4 linked regions of the Canis lupus familiaris genome follow. The protein of the gene in region 1 interacts with the protein of each later gene in a biochemical or structural test. Links are inferred from orthologs where the notes say so. Each region holds a gene or a part of one and is shown in the gene's direction. Other genes may lie near its edges.

What was found.
Region 2: the proteins of XPO1 (region 1) and ADAR form a complex in vitro, tested with the Homo sapiens proteins (2 studies listed by BioGRID, with this or other methods). The link is inferred for Canis lupus familiaris from reciprocal best matches to the Homo sapiens genes XPO1 and ADAR.
Region 3: the proteins of XPO1 (region 1) and RANBP3 form a complex in vitro, tested with the Homo sapiens proteins (2 studies listed by BioGRID). The link is inferred for Canis lupus familiaris from reciprocal best matches to the Homo sapiens genes XPO1 and RANBP3.
Region 4: the proteins of XPO1 (region 1) and RANBP1 form a complex in vitro, tested with the Homo sapiens proteins (3 studies listed by BioGRID, with this or other methods). The link is inferred for Canis lupus familiaris from reciprocal best matches to the Homo sapiens genes XPO1 and RANBP1.

The regions. Positions count from the first base shown.
Region 1 is NC_049231.1:62,834,390-62,839,589, reverse strand, and holds part of XPO1 (exportin-1), read left to right. Parts: intron 1-787; coding exon 788-982; intron 983-2,011; coding exon 2,012-2,180; intron 2,181-2,837; coding exon 2,838-2,972; intron 2,973-3,053; coding exon 3,054-3,213; intron 3,214-3,290; coding exon 3,291-3,387; intron 3,388-4,746; coding exon 4,747-4,893; 3' UTR 4,894-5,200. UniProt on the Homo sapiens protein: Mediates the nuclear export of cellular proteins (cargos) bearing a leucine-rich nuclear export signal (NES) and of RNAs.
Region 2 is NC_049228.1:42,768,482-42,773,517, forward strand, and holds the end of ADAR (double-stranded RNA-specific adenosine deaminase), read left to right. Parts: coding exon 1-109; intron 110-394; coding exon 395-507; intron 508-773; coding exon 774-901; intron 902-996; coding exon 997-1,234; 3' UTR 1,235-3,427; downstream 3,428-5,036. UniProt on the Homo sapiens protein: Catalyzes the hydrolytic deamination of adenosine to inosine in double-stranded RNA (dsRNA) referred to as A-to-I RNA editing.
Region 3 is NC_049241.1:54,560,641-54,565,840, forward strand, and holds part of RANBP3 (ran-binding protein 3), read left to right. Parts: intron 1-914; coding exon 915-1,018; intron 1,019-2,168; coding exon 2,169-2,288; intron 2,289-4,196; coding exon 4,197-4,300; intron 4,301-5,200. UniProt on the Homo sapiens protein: Acts as a cofactor for XPO1/CRM1-mediated nuclear export, perhaps as export complex scaffolding protein. Bound to XPO1/CRM1, stabilizes the XPO1/CRM1-cargo interaction. In the absence of Ran-bound GTP prevents binding of XPO1/CRM1 to the nuclear pore complex.
Region 4 is NC_049247.1:29,377,989-29,383,842, reverse strand, and holds the start of RANBP1 (ran-specific GTPase-activating protein), read left to right. Parts: upstream 1-2,360; 5' UTR 2,361-2,492; coding exon 2,493-2,507; intron 2,508-3,455; exon of another isoform or gene 3,456-3,474; intron 3,475-3,776; coding exon 3,777-3,913; intron 3,914-5,810; coding exon 5,811-5,854. Other genes in the region: TRMT2A (tRNA (uracil-5-)-methyltransferase homolog A), read right to left, coding at 142-323, 611-719, 1,005-1,611, 1,778-2,087. UniProt on the Homo sapiens protein: Plays a role in RAN-dependent nucleocytoplasmic transport. Alleviates the TNPO1-dependent inhibition of RAN GTPase activity and mediates the dissociation of RAN from proteins involved in transport into the nucleus.

The DNA.
Region 1 (5,200 bases):
ATATATCTGTGGCTCTTCCCAGCCTATTATAATTCCTTGGTTTCTTTTGGTAAAAAGTCTTAATGTCCAAAACCAAATTAAAAAACGGGATTTTCTAGGGGTACTTGGTGGCTCAGGTAGTTGGTCCAGCAACTGCGTTTGGCTCAGGTCAGAATCCCAAGGTTTGTGATTGAGTCCCCACATTGGGCTCCCTGCTCAGTGGGCGGCCTGTTGCTCTCATTCTGTCAAATAAACAACCTTTAAATTTTTTTTTTAAAAATAAAACGTGGGGGATCCCTGGGTGGCGCAGCGGTTTGGCGCCTGCCTTTGGCCCAGGGCGCGATCCTGGAGACCCGGGATCGAATCCCACATCGGGCTCCCGGTGCATGGAGCCTGCTTCTCCCTCTGCCTGTGTCTCTGCCTCTCTCTCTCTCTCACTGTGTGCCTATCATTAAAAAAAAATAAAAATAAAAAAATAAAACGTGGGATTTTCCAGTTTTAAGCAGATATTCAACCTAAATTTCAATATAACATTGACCTAGCTGTTTATGATGGTAAGCAAGTGCATAGGATAAAACTTGGGGGATCTCTGGGTGGCGCAGCGGTTTGGCGCCTGCCTTTGGCCCAGGGCGCGATCCTGGAGACCCGGGATCGAGTCCCACATCGGGCTCCTGGTGCATGGAGCCTGCTTCTCCCTCTGCCTGTGTCTCTGCCTCTCTTTCTCTCTGTGTGACTATCATAAATAAATAAAAATTTAAAAAAAAAATAAATAAAAAACTTGGGTAAAGTTTTTTTTTTTTTTTAACAGGTAGCTGAAAATTTTGTTCCTCCTTTATTGGATGCAGTTCTCATTGATTATCAGAGAAATGTACCAGCTGCTAGAGAACCAGAAGTGCTTAGTACTATGGCTATTATTGTCAACAAGTTAGGAGGACATATAACAGCTGAAATACCTCAAATATTTGATGCTGTTTTTGAATGCACATTGAATATGATAAATAAGGTATGTGGTTTACATTTCAGTATGGGAAATTCTGCATTATGTATCCTTGTAAGACTTGAAAGCATAAATGATAGCTATGGGATTAACTAGTTTAAATATTTGAACATTTAGACCAGAGAAGTACTTTTAAAAATATTAACTATTGGGCAGCCCTGGAGGCCCAGTGGTTTAGCGCCACCTTCGGCCTGGGGTATGATCTGGAGACCCAGGATCGAGTCCCACGTCAGGCTCCCTGTGTGGAGACTGCTTCTCCCTCTGCCCCCCTTTCTCTCTCTTTTTCTCTCTCTGTCATGAATAAATAAATACAATCTTTAAAAAAATGTATTTACTATTAAAAAGATCTTTGGCCATTTGGATGGCTCAGTTGATTGAGCTTCTGCTCTTGGTCTCCGCTTGATCTTGATCTTGAATTCAGAATGGTGAGGTAACACACCAAGTCTAGTCTCCACACTCAGCAAGGAGTCTGTTGAAGATTCTCTCCCTTTGGTCCTCCCCCCAATTCACATGTACTCCCTCAAATCTTAAAACAATCTTAACTGCAAAATAGTAAATTTACATAAAAACTATATTCAGTAATGTATATGTGTATATATATACACACACACAAGAAATGGGGAAATGTATTAAGTAAGATAGGAAAATGTAGATCTAAGTCCACAAATTTACACAGTAGCTAAAAATTCTCGGATCTATATTTGTGATCTTGAAGTCAGAATCATAACATGGTAGTAATTTTCTTAAGAGTAACTTGAAAATATGTTCTTTATGGGTTTTGACTCCTTATAATGGGACCTTGTAGTCCTTATTTTTAGTAATTCATTTGTGTAATCAGTGGTAATTACATCTTCCATGAGAGGCAAATTGTGTTGATTTCAGGTTTGCTGATCAGGAAACCAATATCTTACATACACTGGATGGGGCCCATTAACAATTCCAAAGCTTTATACTAAATTAGGATTTACTTTTTCTTTTTTATTAAACATAATTAAGGCATTGAAACTTTATTTTGTTCTCATCTTTTGTTTATAGGACTTTGAAGAATATCCTGAACACAGAACAAACTTTTTCTTACTACTTCAGGCTGTCAATTCTCATTGTTTCCCAGCATTCCTGGCAATACCACCTGCACAATTTAAACTTGTTTTGGATTCCATTATTTGGGCTTTCAAACATACTATGAGGAATGTTGCAGATACAGGTAAATACACGTCCTTTTATTTAAATACCCTTTTTATTCATTCATCTTACAATCCACAGGCTCTTAAACTTAGATCTGAAGGAATTAGGTAGCACTGTTATGTGGGTTTTGTGTGAGTACATCTGTGGCATATGTAGGTCTAAGTAAATACTAAAAGCAGTTGAATCCTCTCTTCTATGGTTGAGTCCACAGGTGTAGGGTTGATTTACAGGGAGATGGGTGAAAATTCAAAGTAGAGCGACATTACTTTTCCGCATCCATACCAATGTTTCCTTTTCCCCATATGCTTTTCCTCTGTCCCGCTAAGGGTCAAAATAAGGAGAAAACCACATTTTCGAGAGAAATTTTTATTTTTTAATAGAAACTGGTTTATGTAATATACTTGTATTTTCGTAATGCTGTTTTTAGAGTTGATTTGGAGAGAATCTAAACTTTCAGATATAGTGGAAAGTTGGTAATGGTTATTACTGTAATCTATAAGCAGACATTGATGCTAGATGAACTCCCATTATTCAAGGTAATTTAGGCAAATAATTGTTAGTCACTAGTGGAAAGAGGGTTAAGAATGGCTTTTGAATCAGAAGAGTTGAATAGTGGAAATTCTGTGTGAATGTTAACCGGCTGTAATAACTTCATTAGTGTTTTTGTACATTTTAGGCTTACAGATACTTTTTACACTCTTACAAAATGTTGCACAAGAAGAAGCTGCAGCTCAGAGTTTCTATCAAACTTATTTTTGTGATATTCTTCAGCATATCTTTTCTGTTGTGACAGACACCTCACATACTGCTGGTAAGAATTTATAGCCATGAAAATCTTAAGTGTTCAAGTTGTTATTAACTGTGGAGTTAATGATGTTCTTCTTATCAACAGGTTTGACAATGCATGCGTCAATACTGGCATATATGTTTAATTTGGTTGAAGAAGGAAAAATAAGTACACCATTAAATCCTGGAAATCCAGTTAACAACCAAATGTTCATTCAGGAATATGTGGCAAATCTCCTTAAATCTGCATTCCCTCATCTACAAGAGTAAATACACTTTTTAATACACCTATATTTTTCAGTTAAAAAACAGTGATATTTAATCGTTGTGTTTTGTTTTGCAGTGCTCAAGTAAAGCTCTTTGTGACAGGGCTTTTCAGCTTAAATCAGGATATTCCTGCTTTCAAGGAACATCTTAGGGATTTCCTAGTACAAATAAAGGTACGTGCTTTGTACTTGGTATGTTTTAGTTGTTGGATTGTACAATGTACCGCTTTTTGTTAAAGCAAAATGAATGGGATTTTTGAGTGGTATTTAAGCTTACTAGTCCTAGACTGATACACAGTGAAAAACTAAGTCATCGCTGAGAACATGATGCGTTACAAATGTTTTTGGAAACTTGTTATTAATAGAATTCATTTTGGATGATCAAAATGTCTTGGAATAATGGTCATGTCATCCTATAGATGATTTTTAAATTGTGCATTATGGGGAAAGAAACACTGATTGCCCCTTTGGGGATTTCATACCCATTTTGTTAGTAATCCATTTTAGGGAATTAAGACAAATTAGCAGATAATCCACTTCTTTCTACTGCTGTTACACAATGCTTCATTTAAATTTATGGGAAGAAAAAAAAATAAATTTATGGGAAGAAGAAATTGTCTTGTATTACTTTCTTTTAAACAAATTTAAAAGTAATGTAACATCTGTAAGTTGATGGATTATCTTACTGGTGAAGGTTAAATAAGGATTGGTCGTACATGATAATGTTACTCAGATTTTTTTTCCCTCTAAGATAAATAGGTTTTTTAAAAATTGTAAATATATTAGCTATGTCATAAGTAGAGAATGCCAAAGAGAGCGAAAATTACTTGAAATTCCTATATAGGTCAGCTTGGGGTGGCTCAGCGGTGTAGCGCCGCCTTCGGCCCAGGGCCTGATCCTGGAGACCCGGGATCAAGTCCTACGTCCGGCTCCCTAAAGGGAGCCTGCTTCTCCCTCTGCCTGTGTCTCTGCCTCTCTCTCTCTCTCTCTTCGAATAAATAAATAAAATATTTAAAAAACAGCTATATAGTCACAATGTAGCTAAACTTTATCATTAGTTGTAGGAGAAACAACTTTTTAAATCTCTTGTCTTATGGAAGTATATTTTATATATGACATTGCACTATGCCTTTTTAATAAACTTTTTTTCCTCAGTTAACACCTTTGGTTTTAATTCAGCTACACAGAATTGTATCAGTATGCTATAATTTAGGGACACCTTGAACATCCAGCTCAGATCATGATCTCTGGGGCATGGTATCCTGGGATTAAACCCCCCTACCCTGCTCTGCACTCTGCAGGGAGCCTGCTTGTCCTTCCCTCTCCTCCTACCCCCCTGCATTTTGTTTGTAATACATATAATCTTTAAAAATACATACACTATAATATTAACCCAACCAATTGAAGGATAGGTTTTATCATTGTGTAGACAAAACAGGGAGGTGCTTGTCTATCTTCCTCCACCCCTCCCAGGAGGACATTTTCCAAAATTGAAGTTGGTTATATTAATACTTAACTATCTTGTTGTCACAGGAGTTTGCAGGTGAAGATACATCTGATCTGTTTTTGGAAGAAAGAGAAACAGCCCTTCGACAGGCTCAGGAAGAGAAACATAAACTTCAAATGTCTGTCCCTGGCATCCTTAATCCACATGAAATTCCAGAAGAAATGTGTGATTAAACTAAGAAGTCATGCTGGTTTTTTCTTTTTCTTTTTTTTTTTTCTTCCTTTTTTTGGTTGGGTTTTTCCCCCCTCTCTGCAACTCTTGTTAGCAGAAGAAAACAGCATCTGGATATTTGTCGACCAAAATGATGCCAATTTGTAAATTAAAATGTCACCTAGTGGCCCTTTTTCTTATGTGTTTTTTGTATAAGAAATTTTCTGTGAAATATCCTTCCATTGTTTTAAGCTTTTGTTTTGGTCATCTTTATTTAGTTTGCATGAAGTTAAAAATTAAGGCATTTTTTAAAATTTTACTTCATGCCCA
Region 2 (5,036 bases), on another chromosome or scaffold:
CGCACCATGTCATGCAGTGACAAGATCCTTCGCTGGAATGTGCTGGGCCTTCAGGGGGCGCTGCTAACCCACTTCCTGCAGCCCGTGTATCTCAAGTCAGTCACTCTGGGTAAGGGCCCACCGCTGCCTGCCTGCCCAGTGACAGAGAGACTGCCGCAGGGTCTGGGCTTCCTTGCCACCGCCAACCCCCACCCCCTGCCCCCAGCCTGGAGCCCGATGTGTTGTGCCTGTGGCTTGAGTGGACACATGCCCTGTGCAGCCCCACCCACGAGGCCTGCCAATGAGGGTGCCACCTCTATCTCAACAGCACTCCCCGGCCCCCTCTCTGCCCCCCATACACCTCTCAGCAACACCCGGCGCAAACACAGGGGCACACACCTCCGTTTCCTCACAGGCTACCTGTTCAGCCAAGGACATCTGACTCGTGCCATCTGCTGCCGTGTGACGAGGGACGGAAGTGCCTTTGAGGATGGGTTGCGGCCCCCCTTCATTGTCAACCACCCCAAGGTGCTCGCTCCCTTTTCCCTTGACCTTCACTGTGGGCAGGGGAGGAATGTCGTGGGTTTCCCGGGAGCTGGTCCTCTGTACTCTCGGACACCAGGGGCTTGCTTCTTAGGTTGCAGCATATTTGCATACAGTTAGGGTTCACCAAACAGCATCCCAGACCAGGAGAAAGACCCCCAGCTGCCCCCTCTGCCCCAGGGGCCCTGAGTCCCTGCGACAGGACTTCCCAGAAGGCCTCCATCTTCTCCCTCCCACCCCCGGACTCGTAGGTGGGCCGAGTCAGTGTGTACGACTCCAAGAGGCAGTCCGGGAAGACAAAGGAGACGAGCGTGAACTGGTGCCTGGCTGACGGCTACGACCTCGAGATCCTGGATGGGACCCGAGGCACCGTGGACGGGTGAGGCCCAATCCACCATGCCCCCCCTCACATGCCTCCCACAAACCCCCCCCTTCTCTGGACCCCAGGGACTCACCAGCGCCTCCGTCCCCCAGGCCACGGAACGAACTGTCACGTGTCTCCAAGAAGAACATTTTCCTCCTGTTCAAGAAGCTGTGCTCGTTCCGGTACCGCAGGGATCTTCTCAGACTCTCGTATGGCGAGGCCAAGAAAGCCGCCCGAGACTATGAGCTCGCCAAGAACTACTTCAAGAAGAGCCTCAAGGACATGGGTTACGGGAACTGGATCAGCAAGCCCCAGGAGGAGAAGAACTTTTACCTCTGCCCCGTGTGAGGGGGGCCGGGGCCGGGGGGCCACACAGCTGGGCCGTAGCTTCCTCATCTCTTCAGTCTCGGGGAGGGGAGGGGATCCTTGTCTTTTCCTTTTTTCTTTTTTTTTTATTTTTTAATTTTTTGGTGGGAGCAGGTTGATGACCCTGAGAACCACCAGCCCCCTGCCCTTTCTGTGGCAAGGGAGGCCCGTCTTCTCCTCCTGCCGCACAAGCACGAGGGCCTATGGCCCACCTCCCGCTCAGCCCCACTTTGGTGTCCACGTCCTCTGCCGTGTGTTTGCTGCACCAACTCTCACCCTCCAGGTCAGGCCCCCATCCGCCATCTGTGCTGAGTTCTGCAGGGCCAGAGGTTTCACTGGTGATTCTGCAGGCCCCTCCGTCTCCCCTCTGCCCTTTTGCAATTCTCTCATGATCACTAAGCTTCTCCTTTTCCTCCAAGATCATAAGAGGTGAACTTACAGAATTCGGTGAAATACACAAGGACAGGGTTGTAAAACTGCGGTTCATTAATTCCCAGGGCGGGCACGTCCCGAGTCTGCAGGTGATGTCCAGTAACCTTCGGGTCTTGCACTTTAGCCAGCGAGGAGGGCTGGGCTGCCGAGAGGGCCAGCAAGGCCTAGGGGTGGCCCCTGCCGTAGCAAACGCCCCATGGGGTGACACCGTCCGCCCCAGGGAGCACAGACATGCCTCACGACACCGCCAGCCCAGCTGTCCTCCAGAAGCATTCCTATGGATTTGTCAGGCCAGCAGGGCACAGATCCCAGTGCACAGCAAGGGTTCTTGCAGGGCAAGTCCTTGGCTCAGATAATCAGGACTTAGAATCAGGGCAGATCAATCATGTTGGGTCAGATCACTGTACCACCCAGTACCCTCATGACACTGCACCTGAGAAAGTTGACCAAGTCATAGGTAAATTAGGAGTTTTTAAAAATGTCATAAATGTTGATTCTTAACTGCTACAGATAATCTGTAATTGCACAGAATTTAAAGTCAGACCTAATTTTCCATTTATCAAGTGCTCCTGTTTGCCAGCTCGCTTCAGAAGGGCCAGCCATGGCCTGAGGTCTCCTGGCCTATCAGGGAATCTTTGTAGGATGGATGCTCAACAGCAGTTAAAACCCTGTGAGCTGGGACCCCACCTCCCCCTCCCCGTCCATACCTCAGGCTTGTGGTGACTCCCAGGGTCAGAGCCTACAGTGTCTCTGGAGGCTGGCTCGATCCTGCATCAGCTACACCCCACCTCCAGGGGTACCCCCCTCACTGCCTGACAGCACCCGGGCCTGTGCCCTCACATGATTTTCCCTCCGCCCCTACACCCCACAGACTACTGACAAGGCCACCCCGTCTGGCCCTCCTCTTCAGTGGTAGATACACCCACACTTTTGTTCTTGTGGCTACTATTTCCTCTGTGCTTTTGACCAAAAATTGACCAAAATTAAAAAAAAAAAACATTCAAGTTTTTTTAAAGTATACTAAAGATGTCTGTGGAACAGCCAAGTGTCTCAAGGAACTGGTAGGGAAACGGTGCCTACTTATGGGGCGGAGGGGCCTGGCCCCATCCTGCGTACCTGCTGGGGGCACATGAGGCCTGTCTTGCCCAACGTGGCTCGTCCCCCAGGCTCTTCAGACTGGAGGGTCTGGCCTGCTGACCCCACAGAATGTCCAGACCCTCCGCTCCATCTTGGGTGTTAGAATCTCCAGCAGAGCCCCACTCAGCCCAAGGTCAGATGAGACGCATCTGGTTTCTGCTGTAGGAAGGGGGCACAGCATCCTGTGCTCATGTGTGTGCTGGAGACGATCCCGCGTGCGGCCTGTGTCCCCGCGCCCCTCGGGGCACAGCTCCTGTCCACAGTGCTCACCTTTTTGTCAAATCTTTGTTTTTAGTAACCAGGACGCCCTTCTTCCTTTTTTAAAATGATCTTTGTAGTTGATTTGTCTGAACTGTGGCTATTGTGCATTCTCTGAATAATCACTTGTGAAAATTGTCGCTGCTCGAAGCTATTTCCTTTACTCTCGTTGAGCGACTGTTGGTTTGGGTCCTGGTGTGACTCCAAGAGCAGATTGGAAAGAGCCCAAGCACAGACTTGGTGCTACCGGGGCTGCAGTCAGGTTTACGATTCCGCTTTGATGTGTCCCCTGATAACCGTGACTAACAATATACATTCCTCATAAATAAAGAAAAATCTGAATTGTTAGAAAGTTTCCTGTCTTGGCTTCCCCGGGAAGGGAGAGTGGGGGCAAGGGGGCCATGATCCTGGGGTTTCTGGGGCTGGGCGTCCTTTCCTGACTGCCCCGGCCCCACACCCAGCGCCCCCACAGAGCCTTCAGGTTAACACCTTGTGCTCGGAGATGTGGGATGCAGGATTCCAGCCTGGGTGGGAAAACCACCTGTGACACAACATCTCAAGTCATGTGCATCACCCCTACTCTGTTGGGGCGTTTTTCTCCAGCCCAACCCCAAACAGTACTCCCGGCAGCAGCCATCCCGCCTGTAGGAACATGCATGTTTGGAACAAGTCTCTGGCCAGGCTGCCGTCTTAGGAGACCTGCCATGGCCTTCAGCTTGGGGAAGGCACCGGATCATATTCCCGCAGGGCGTCAGAGGGAATGTGCCCCTTTCCACGCGGTGACAGCCCAGAGGCTAGCACACTCATCCCTGACTTTTTAACACGCTGTCCTCCTAGAGGACACAGAGTCATGGTGAAGCCTCCTTCCCCATCCACTGCAGATGGGACAGTGGAGGCAGGAGGGCCAGTGATGTGTTTGGGGGCTTGTAAGGGGCCACAGCTGTGCATGGGTGTCATTCGTGATCTGCCGAGACCAGTGCTGAGTTGGCTGGATGGTTTCTGAGGACAGCAAAGGAGAATGCCTCCGGCGCCAGGATGTACCAGGGACCTCTTAGTGACTCCCGATCCCCTACCCCCCTACCCCCCTACCCCCCGGGGGTTCGAAGACACAGATAATTTCCTTTCTTCACACCTAACTTGAGCGCCAGACCTGTGTGTGTGGAGGGAAGGAGCCTATCCCCGCCACCAGCTCCGAGGGGCTGGAAGAGACAGGGCTGGGGCACAGGGCAGCCAGGGGTGGTCAGCTCACAGGTCTGCCCTCTGTTCCCATTGACCTGTGTTCCATCAGGGGCCACAGCTGAATGGTGCCTCCAGGTCGAGACCCAGGGCAGACCAGGGTCCTAGGGACCACGCAGCCTGCAACCTTGACCTCCCTGCACAGATGAGCTGCAAGGAGACCCCATGGATCCTGACTCCAGGCCCTTCTAGAGGAGCGTCCCCAGGAGCAGCCTCAGCTCTGCTGCCCCAGGTCCAGCCACGTGGCCATTTCTTCCCCAGCGACTAGAGTCCTTGTAAAGCACAAATCCCAGAAATCAAAGTGACTGCTCACCTTCAGGTTCTCGTACTTTCATGCCTCACAAGTCCAATTTCTCCAGCTCCCCTCACCCCCCGCTTTCCCACATCTGCCAACCCTGCCCCCAGATACAACAGAGACAAGACGTCTTTGGAAACAACTTTTCTTTGCGAGAATCTTGAGTTCCTAATGAATCTGGCCTGGCTAGACCAGTGCAAATATTCCAGAAGCACAGACAGGGGAGGCCAAGGCCGGGCAGGAAGCTCGGGGTCGGGAGGCACCTCAGCAACTCCTAGACCTGCAGTCCCTTAGGAGCCACAGGACATTCACCCTGGCCACTCGGGCCTGCTGGCCAAACACTGAAAGGTGCCACTGGCTCTCACTCTGGCCTGGGCACGTGATGGGCAACACCTGCTGGACCAAGGGACTGTGTGGCCATGCCTG
Region 3 (5,200 bases), on another chromosome or scaffold:
CTCTGCCCCTCTCTCTGTATCTCTCTATGAATGAATAAATAAAATCTTTTTTTAAAAAAAAGTAAAATAAAAAAATAAATAAATCCCTGGTGAGCCCAGGGAAGACGGTATGGTCCCACCGTCTCCCTGTGGCACCAGGCCAAGGTGACCACTAGGTAAGTCCTGCTTTCTGCGCATACTGGCTTCACAAAAGCTGGCTCCTCTCAAGTGTCTCTGGTTCAGCCCAGCATATTTGTAGGCAAAACTTGGCCCTGTGTGTCTGAGAGATTTGAAGGGTCATTTTAGTTATGTGCAAATCATCTGATTTTCCACCATAAGACCTAAATCTTAACCCATATTTCCATGATCTCCACACAGGGCATGGTGTTCAGTTGACCTTTTAGTTTCTTAATGAGCTTTTCTTGTCTTTCTCTTGGCCTCTCCCTGTAATTCAAAAATTCATCAGAAGCAATCCAACATCCCACATGGGGGAAATAGTTAATATTTCTGAAGAGTTTCAACAGGAAAGCTTTTTATAAGCGAGGCTAACCAATCAGCCAAATTTAAAGCTGCACACATCATGTGATCTCAGCTATTTATAGGGAAAAGTGCATAGAATAAAGATGTTATGAGTAAAACGTTTTATAAAACTCATAATCATTCCTTCAATATATATTACTTTTCTCTTTTATCTTCACAGTATCATTTCTGAGTACACTAAAATTCATACAGTTCTTTGTGGAGTAAGCAATAAGATATTCTCACCTCTGTGAGGTTTTAGTTCTGAGGTTGGGTTTTTCAATGTAAGAATGTAATTTTCAGTAGGGACATTAGATCGTTTTCTTTAAAGAGGAGAAATTACACTGTTGGTCTAAATGGTGGAAGGGAGCACTTGAGGTTTCACACACACACACCCCATCTTCTTGTCCCTGCAGTCCCAAGCAGCGGCACCAACGGAGTCAGTATCCCAGCAGACTGCACGGGGGCCATGACAGCAACATCACCTGACAACCCTGCACGGAGAAGTCCCTCTGACGAGGTGCGAGCACTTGAGGTGTTTCTGTGCTGGGCAGGGAGCACCTGAAACTTCTCGGAGCTTTACTGAGTGTGTAGACAAGTTACCTGCTCAGAGCAGTGCCTGGGTAGGCCTGTGTTAAGGCTTTCTGTATTTGCTCAGTGGTGTGCATGTGCAACTGCAGCTGATGTCCATAGTTGCTAGAATGCCAAGGATGGTCTGTCCGCAGTTCCAGAGTTCTGTCTGGGTTCCAGAGGCCAGACCCAGCACCTCCCTGTACAAGTGGCCAGCTGGCCTCTGGGCCTGGCCTCTGGGGGGGCGGGGGTCCTTGGAGCCACAGGAATGGCTTTCATTGATGAGATAGTGTGCCCTTTTACATGGAAAGCTGTCTCCCCTCCCTGTTTCCACACCTGAACAACACGGGGGTTCGCATAGGTGGGCCCATTCTAGCTGAAGAAATCAGCTCAGAACATTGATTGATTGATTGATTGATTGATTGATTGATAGGCAGACACAGCAAAGTCTGGGGTTCTGGGTTTCTATAGGCCAAGAGCATGTGTTTTCTAGTGGTATTGCCCGGCAACTGAAAAATGAGGAGCATGTACCAAAGAGCCTGCATTTGCGGGTGGCAGAGGTGAATCTGAAATGCAAGTTGCAGCACCACACCAAGGCTTCCATTCACAAAGCCAGATTGCATGTGTGTGTTTATTTCGACTGGGCTGTTTTGGCAGCTGAGCTGCTGCCTGAGTTCTGGCCCCTCCACCTCCCCCACACACCCCCCATAGTTGCTGGAGAGCAAATGGTGAAATCGATCGTCTACAATTCATTTTTAAAACATCCCTGAGCAACCCCCGCTCCTTCAGACCACAATTAGCAGAATTAAAATTAGGAGCCATCTTTGCAACCTGCTGCTGCTTGGAGACTTGGATAGCTAGGGCGGCTAGCGCAGCAGGGCTGTGAGCTGGAGGGAGTCTGGGAAGCTGCCTGGCCCGCCCACCTCCGGCGTCCCCGGGGAGTCAAGGACAGGCCACACCCGGGCGGCAGCAGCCCCCCGGGGACCTGAGCCAGAGGAGACCCCTTGAGCAGACGGAACTGCGAGAGATGGCCCACCTTGCTTCTTGGGGCTAACCTGTCACTTCTTTTCAGTTGTTGTCTTGTTTTTGTTTCAAACTAGGAGAAAGAGCCCCAGAAAAATGAGTCTAGCGATACTTGTGAGGAGGAGAACTGTGAGAAAAGAGAGCAAGTTGCGCAGCAGGCGTTTGTGTTCGGGCAGAACCTGAGGGACCGAGTCAAGGTGTGTGGATCAGAGGCCCGGATGGGTGCTCGCACTCCGGGGTCGGTCTCTTCTGCCTCCTCCAGTTCAACCACAGGACCTCCGCTTCTCCCTTCAGGGGGCGGGAGGTGGAGGTGGCATAGCCGCAGGCTTGTCCCTGACTGCTGGCATGGCCTCCCTGCTGCACTGCTCAGCTCCCGGCGTGCTCCCTGGAGGCCTCCCTTGTTCTCCCAGTCGCCGGGGATGGGACGAAACCGAGCGTGCCTCTCCTTGGAAACCAACATTTTCGTAGCAAAGGGGACAGCACCATCCGATGCTTTCGACGTCACTGGAGAGCTTGTCATTGCCTAACTTGGGAGCTGCTCTGTCTTGGCACAAAGCAACGTTTAGACAAGGTTCATTGTCAGCTGTTGGAGGGCTGGGTATCCTAGGGTACCAGGCAGCATCCCTGGCCCTCCCCCTCCGGGTGCCAGGAGTATGCCCCCACCCCCTGACGCGGCAACCCAAAGTGTCCCCTCATGAGGCTGAGCATTCCCTTTGGGACCAAGTCACCCCTAATTGAGAATCATTACCTTATTTTTTTTAAGGTAGGGCAGATAGAAAAATAACTATTCTGTCCCATACTAAGCAATAGCATCTGTCCCCTCCTGGCTGCCCCCAAGGCCTATTGGTCTAGTCTGGGGACTTTGAGTCAGGGGTAGAGAGCATCTGGCAGGGGCTCTGGGCTCGGGACCCTGTGTGCTGTCACTCTGAGAAGCCAGAATTAGGCAACACTACCTTTCCAGCCACCAGGATAGAGTGTCCCTCTGTGCCGTTTCCAGCAGCTCATCTGGCAGGAGTTCCTTTAGAAGCCTGAGAGACAACATGAGTGGCTGTGTCTGGGGACGTTTGTGGTTGTCACGGCTAGGGTGTAGGTACCACTGCCATCCAGTGGGTGGGAGCAGGGGATGCTGCCCAATACCCCACGGTGTCCAGGGCGGCTTCCCCACAGAGAAAGATCCAGCCCCAATGTCAGTGATGCTGAGAAGGAGAAATCCTGAAATAAAGGAATAAAAAAGTCTCTCCAGCACGTAGAAAACATCAGGTTGTGCCATCTGCCTTCTCCTTTGGTGTTCGCTGTCCAACAGAAACACAAATCCCTAGGGATGAAAAGTAAGCATTGCTGTTGCGTGACTTTAGCCAAAGTAATGAGTCCCTTGGAGGCTGCTCACTCCAGGGAGGAGGAAGCCGGAGAAGGAAGGGCCTTGAGATCCACCTATGCTAGGGGGCAGGGGCCTGGCCTAAACCGCCAGGTCAAGTCTGTTCCTAGAGTCCAGGGGGATGGCTGCCTTGAAATTGGGGCTGAGGCCCTGTCTTACGGAGGCTCAGGGCTCACGTGATCTGTAGTATCACAGTTACATGCCAGCTTCTCAATGGGGGCGATTTCTTGGCACCCTGAACCCCTGCTTTCTCACTCAGTAGGTCGAGGTTGATAATACCTCTCAGGGTTCCTGGGAGTATCACATTCGATGATAGATTCAACAGAGCTGGCACAGCAGTTAGCAAGCATTAAAAAAAAGCCCTCAAGAAACGATGTTTTTATTATATTTATAATAAACCCCTTAAAATGCCAGATTTGGAAGCATTCTGTGGCCTCTCATTACAAGCATTGGTGAAAAGGGGAACAAGATGTCAATTGAGGGATTTATTTTTTTAAACAAGGTAGAAAAAGTTCCCTGATGCCTTACAAACTCTTTTTCTATCTTAACCATTAAAAGCAGAAATGGCAAAGTTGATTACAGCGCGTGCCCCCCCCCCGGTGTACGCACGTGCACATGCACACACACACACGAGCTGTGCCATAGGCCCTGGGGTATGCAGACAGGCTGAGCTGTTGAGGTCCCGAACAGGCGTTGTCTGGGCAGTAAGTGTCGCCTCTCTGTTTCCCAGTTAACAAATGAGAACACTGAAGTAGCTGACATGGAGAATGCCGGACATCCCAGTTCAGAAACGCCAACTGCGACCAACTATTTCCTTCAGTATATCAGCTCCAGGTGTGTGTCTTGGGCCGGGTGGCCAGCCTCAGAGTGGCCCAGGTCATCCCCTAGCCTGGGGCCCAGGGTGAGGAGGCAGCACCTGGACCAGGAACCTGGTCCTTCTGGAGGGCAGGATGGAGGTGGGAGTGGGGGAAGCAGATTTCACCAGAATCCTGGATCTCCTCCCCCGCCCAATCCCCTGGCTCCCTCCCTTATTCCCATTCTGGGCACAGCTGTGAAGGGGCCAGGATGGTGTGTTTCAACAGACAAGGCAGGACCCAAGTTCTCCTTGGCCCTTGGAGTGACCTCTGTCACCTGGATCTCATGCTCAGAGCAGAACCCAGTGGACCAATGGCTGCTTGGCTGCCTCCTGTTACCTGCCAGGTTCCGGCCTATGGGGACCCCTTACCCTGGATTTGGGTTCGCTGGTGGTTAACACTGCTGGTGGTGGTGCTCACTAGTGGCCTGGGTGCCCCATGGATATTTCAGAGAAAAAGGAGACAAGCCAGCAGAGTAGATAGAGAACATGGGCGTGGACTTCAGAGAGACCTGGCATGAATGGTGGTGACCTCACACTTGGCTTCCTAGACCCTGATTAGCAAAGTGCATTGGATATTGTTTTAAAGACATTTTTTGTACTGCAGCATTTCCCAGATTGGGATGTGCTTACACCCGTGACATCTTAAACTAGATGAAATGTGATGGTGACAGCAGCTCCGAGGTCATCCAGTGTCCTCTGCCAGCAGCCCAGGGGCAGGAGGTGTCCTTTCCTTTGTGCAGCCCAGGGGGACTAGTGGGTTCCTTCAGGGAAGTAGGTGGCGCCTGGTCTGACCTCTGCGATCAGCCTCTCTGAAGCGGTATCTTCATGCACCCCGAAGGGGACATCCGCCTCAAGGAGGTTGGGGATGATGAGGTGAC
Region 4 (5,854 bases), on another chromosome or scaffold:
GCATCGGCCAACCAGGACTGAGTGAGCGCCTCCCCACTCTCCCAGCCGTAACCGCCAGATCACAATCCCAAGACCCCCCAGGCAGATCCTCTGCTCCCACCTCAGAACTTCTGGGCCCCCAGCCCAGCCATAAGCCCTCACCGGATGAATTCCTGGAAGGCCTTCACCACCTGCTTGGTGGCTCCAGGGATGTGCACGGTGTCAAAGGGGGCGGCCACAGCACATGTCCCACCCTTATACTTGCCAAGCCGACAGCCGACTGTGTTGTCCTCCCCGTCCACCCCGACGCCGACCAGAAACTCACACTTATTACGATACTCGGTCTGCAGGAAGGGTGGAGGGAGGCAGAGAGACACGCCTGACCTTACTCTGGCCGTCCAGCACTTGTGAGCGGCCAAAAGAGCTCATCAAGTGAGAGATGGTGGTGAGCGAGAGGCACCAGTTTCCCCACGGGGCCTGGCGGTCCAGGGGATGGGGCTGACAACAAGTAACAGTCACGTGACGAACACCAGAAAGAGACAGAAAACAGGGAAAGCTATGATAGAGGTAAGAGAGAAGAGCTCCTCTTAGAACACGAGGTGGATTTCTGGTTGCAGCAGCCGGGCCTGACCTGCTGGGGTGATGGCCTAACCCCCTCCAGTGGGCAGCAGGCCTTGTTGTGCTTGTGCCTCTGTGAGAGCAGCCAGGGCAGCAGGGCGCGGTTGGTGCTCCCAATTTCCCTGCAGGAGGAGGTGAGGCCAAGGTTGGACTCAGCCCGCTGCCCCCCGCCCCCACCACTACCCCCAGCCCCCACCACTACCCCCAGCCATTCTCCAAATGCCCAGGTGCCTGGGCTCCTCCTTCGGGACCTCACCAGCCCCCCTGATTATACACGGGGCTTCCTGGCTTACTGCCCACGAGACTGTGCAGCCGTGAGGACGTCTGCACGGCGCACGGTGGGGGCTGGACGAGCATGCAGCCGAGCAGAGCTTCGGGGCCACCGGGTGATCTGCACCCACACTCACTTGGCAAGCTTCTGTAGCACCTGCTCGCACTCCAGCCGCTTCCGCTCGAGCTGCTCAGCATAGGGCACGGTCCAAAGAGGGGTCACTACATCTGCGATGCAGGTGGCTGTGGGCTCACCCTCATCCTCGCGCCGCCTCTTCCTGGCCATGGGATCCGCCTTGGGCCTGGCGGGGCGCACGCTGAGTGGGCGGCCCTTCCAGAGGGCACCGTGCAGCACACGCAAGGCCTTGTCCCGCTCAGCGGCGCTGCGGAAGGTCACAAAGGCGCAGGGAGGCTGCCCAAAGAGTTTGGTCTTATGAGGCTGCAGGCCGAAGCGGCCCAGAAAGCGCCGGACGTCACTGAAGCTGGCGTGGCGGGGCACGTTCTGCAGCTCCAACTTGAAGATCTCCGAGGTGAACAAGTCGTCCCTGATGTAGCTGTAGAGCCCGGGCTGAGGCGCGGCCCCCGCGGCCGCCCGGCGCCCCTTCCTGCTCCTGCGCTTCCTCCCGGGGGGCCGGGGCCGCAGGGCTGCCCCGGGCACCGCCGCCGTCCGGGCCGCAGCCGTCCACGGGCACAGGGCGCTGTGCAGGGGCAGACGGGCCTCGGGGTGAGGACCGGCCCCAGGGCCTGGGCGCCGCCCACGAGCCCCCCGTTAAGGCACCCGGCGCCCCGGCTCGCCCCTCCCCCCGGCTCCCAACTTGCCCCCGCCCCACGTTGTCTCCTAGCGGCTTCCCGCCCGGCCTCCCATCACGATCTCCCTTCACTTTACCTCGTCGCCGAGCTCGTCACTCACCGTCCGGTCCATCCGCGTCGCGCCCGGGGCCCCCGCGAGGGCCACCTCCGCCTCCGGGCCCTGGGCCTGGCAGAAGGGAGGCAGGCGCTCCGAGGGCGGCCGCAACGCCGCGAGGCCGCTTCCCGGCTCCGCCCAGGGCGGGGGCGGGACTCGAACCCTCGCCGCTCGGGTTCGCGTCCCCGACGTGGGGTACGCCGCCCGCCCGCCAGGGGCCCGTGCCGGCCGCTCGCCTGGTTGGCCGCTCTCCCGTGAGCCAGCGCGTGCCGCCGAGGCCGCGCGTCTCTATCATCTCGACTTCCGGTGATGTCATCGCCACGCGCCAGCTCGGATCCCCTGGCCCTTAGCGAGCCCGAGGGGCGCGCGCCACCGCGGGGCGGAAGTGCGCGCGAGGGCCGCCGGGAGCGCACGTCCCCTGGCTGCCGGGCTGGCCGGGCATGCGCCGGGGGCGTTTTGGCGGGAAGCGCGGGGCGGGCAGGACAATGAGACTGTCCGCCGTGTGAGCCAATAAAGCTGCGCTGGTTTTGAATCGCGTCGCGTTTCCCGCCGCCGAGGTCAGGGGTCGGGGTTCGGGTCGCGGGGCGGAGGGAAGAGCGGGAGGGCGGGAGGCGCCGGCGCCAGACGCGGAGGGAAGGAGCTACGACCAGCCGCCGAGAGGCCGCGGAGCCAGCGACGACCGAGCCCGCCGAGCCGCCGCCGCCGCCGCCGCCGCGCCCCCATGGCGGCCGCCAAGGTGCGGCCGGGCTCGGGCGGGGACCGGGTGGGGGCCGGGAGGCCGAGGCCCCTGCCGGCGGCCACGTGGGCGGCCCGCGCCGCCGCCGCCAACCCCCGCCGGCTTGCGGGCTCCGTGCCTTGCGGAGCCTCGGCGGCGCGTGGTCGGAGCTTCGGGGAGCGCGGCCTGGGGCCCGCGGGGCCTGGGGGCGCGGGCTCGGGGGCTGCCGGGCGCCCGCGTGACCTTGGGGCGGGCCCCGCCGAGGCCGGGGCGCTCCATCGGGGCGGGGGGCGGCCCGCCGCCCAGGCTCCGTGGTCTCCGCTCGCTCTGCTGCTCGCCTGAGACCCAGGCGGGGGCCCGGCTTCCGCGGCTCGGCCCACTTGCAGGCTTCCCACCGGAACCGAGCGTCCCTCCCGCCGCCGCCTGCGCAGCACTTCATTCATTCTGTGCTCACGCCCTGAACGGCCGCAGGCCGCGGGGGCGGCGGTCTGGTTCCAGCCGGGTGGACCGGCCTGGCCGCGCGACCCGGGGGCGGCGGCTGCTCCGGGGACCGCGGGCCTCTGCCCGGGCGAGCTGGCCGACCGCGGAAGGCAGCTTTTCGTATTTGCTGTTCCGGCCCGGGACGGGTAGTAAAGCCCCCCGGGTTCTTACGGACTGCAGATCGCCAAGCCACGTGTTTTGTGAGACTTGAACCTAAAACGGGCTCTTCTGTGGCCTGTAGTTTTCTATTTGTATGATTTCTGTCGATGCATCAACTTTGGGATGTAAGATAAAACTGCCGGCAGGACGTGCATTTCACGTAAACTCTAGGAGTTGGTAGCCACTTTCACCCCCTTCTGCTAAACAAGAGCACGGGGTTTTTTTTTGGTTTTTTTTTTTCCCTTCAACCAGTAAACGTTGGTGAAAGGGTGACAGGCTCCATGAGGCTCTCTTCCACCATTGTGCCTTTTAATCTTCATCTAGTGCTGTCCTTATCCAGGTTTTACAGGTGAGGAGACAGGTGGGAAGTGATGAGGCAGTGCCTCTGGCCAGTAGGCCGCCCACCTTGAGGGGCCCCAGCCACACTGCACACACGTGCCTGATGCCTCTGCGGAGGGCGTGGAAGTTCAGCATCTTCCTGCACTCTTGAATGGGGGTGCCAGCCTTGTGTGAAAGACTGTGGGCTTAACCTCTTGCTCTGGGATGAGGCCATTCACTAGGAGGGATTGCCCACTGCGGGCACAGCTGAGCTCTGGGTGGGGGCCAGGCTCCGGAGCCAGCAGAGTCACTTCTCTGCACCTCCCTCCACAGGACACCCATGAGGACCATGACACCTCCACCGAGAATGCAGATGAGTCCAACCACGACCCCCAGTTCGAACCTATAGTTTCTCTTCCTGAGCAAGAAATTAAAACGCTGGAAGAAGATGAAGAAGAGCTTTTTAAGATGTAAGTAAGCTCACGTTGCTCCAGACCTTGGTATCTTTAGTGTAAGATTGAGTTTATGGTTTTTATGGCCATCAGGGTCTTGGCCTGGCTTGTAATTGGACTGAGACTGAGGAAAGGGCTTGGTTGGGATTGTGCAATAACTAATCCTATGTGGAAATCAAAAAGCTATTGGACGACTCTTCACTTGGTGCCCCTTCTTCTGGTGGCCAGTCCTGTGGAGAGCACAGGTGCTCCCTGGTGTCCTGTTCCTGCTGCTCTGTCCACAAAGGGGCATCGCCACAGTCCTCTGTCCTTGCCACCTTACAGGCTTGCTGCCTTTAGAGGTTTCCAACTGCACCTTTCATCTGGTTGAACAGGGAGTCTCTGCCATTGTTATCATTTCTTCTTTTGCGCTACAGACTTTGGCATCCTGAAGTTTGTGAACTCCCAAATCAGTGTTTTTATGCACAAAATGACACTTGAAATTACAAATGAAAGGGGATGGTGTTACACTTACCAAAATCATTTTCTAAAAAATCATTGTACATGTGTTTTTTGGCGCCTTCAGTAAGAAGCTACAAAGGCAGGTGTCATTTTTAAGTAGCACTGGCACCAGCCATTTGTTGAGATGTCTGTGACAAAATCAGCGCGCTGCTGAGACTGACCTGTTGCCTGTGCTCAGCATCACACGGAACGCTAGGTTCTGTTTCAAGTTAACGGAAATAGGCTGGAGTGCTTTTCCTGTCCAAGCTTACGGAGCTCCCCCACTTTTCAGATTCTATCCAAAAAGCCAGTTGAGGGTTCAAGTGCTTTCCTGACTCCTCCCTCTAAGGAAGGCAGATTGGGAAGACCAGCCTCTTCCCACTACTCTGAAAGGCCTGGGAAAGGAGAGTCACATATATCCCTTTGATCTCAAGAGAGTGGTGGGTCTGTCCCAGAAGACGCTGGATCTCCACATGTGTGCTTTGCCCAGAAATGGTGCCACAGCCAGGGACTGTTCCCTCCCAGGGGTGAGGACTGCTGCTGGTGCTGTCACACACACACTCACCCCCCGCTCTGGCCCTCCTGCCCACACTGGACTGAGAACTGCTCCTGGCAGTCCTGAACATAGGCCCTTCCTGAGGGAGGTGAGGCCAGCAGGTCAGGCCTTTACGTCTGGGCCCTTGGGCGTCAGGTGAAAGCTCTGGTGGCATCCTTTTGAGGGCAGTTATTTCCCTTAACAGAATTGAGTTTGGGAAAGAGAGCAGGGTGTTGTGCAGGAAATGGACCAGCAAGGCTGGGGTCCTAGGGGGAAGGAAATGGAGCCTGAAGTCCTAAGGGCAGGACTGTTGGGCTCACCACGGGGGCTTTGCTGCCCGGTGGGACGGGGCTTTGGCTGGGCCCAATGTGAGGTACTATTCTGGGCAGGAGGGCAGGGTGTTGGACCAGAGCTTGGTGGCCTGAGTAGAGGTCTACAGCCCCCTCTCTGTGTTGGGGGGCCAGGGAAAGAGGGCATCTCACAGCAGGGGGAAGGGCTGGCCCTGTGGACGACAGGGGTCCTCGACCTCTCTCTGTTTCAGTGCTACCCCTGTGGCCCTATGGGACACCAGGGGCTGCCCTGCAGTGTGATCACAGGCAAGCCTAGCGTACTTGGGGAGGGGGGTGTCTTTGCTGAGAAGTTGGGTCTTTCTGTTGGAAATCTCTTTTCTCTTTGATTATTCCAAGTAAAACCTGGGAATTGATTGTTGACTTGCTCTTTTGTTAGTTTTTAAACTAACAGTCCTAGAGGTACCAAGAAAGGAAAGGGTGTCTATGGTGGTGCTAGAAACAGCCATTTGTTCAATGCACAGAAAACAAGTGTTCTTTCCCAGCAAACATTTGGCTGTGTATTCCCCTCTCTGTGCACATCTAAGCCCTCTCTTAATGGCTTTTCTTGAAGGCGGGCAAAGCTATTCCGATTCGCTTCAGAGAACGATCTCCCAG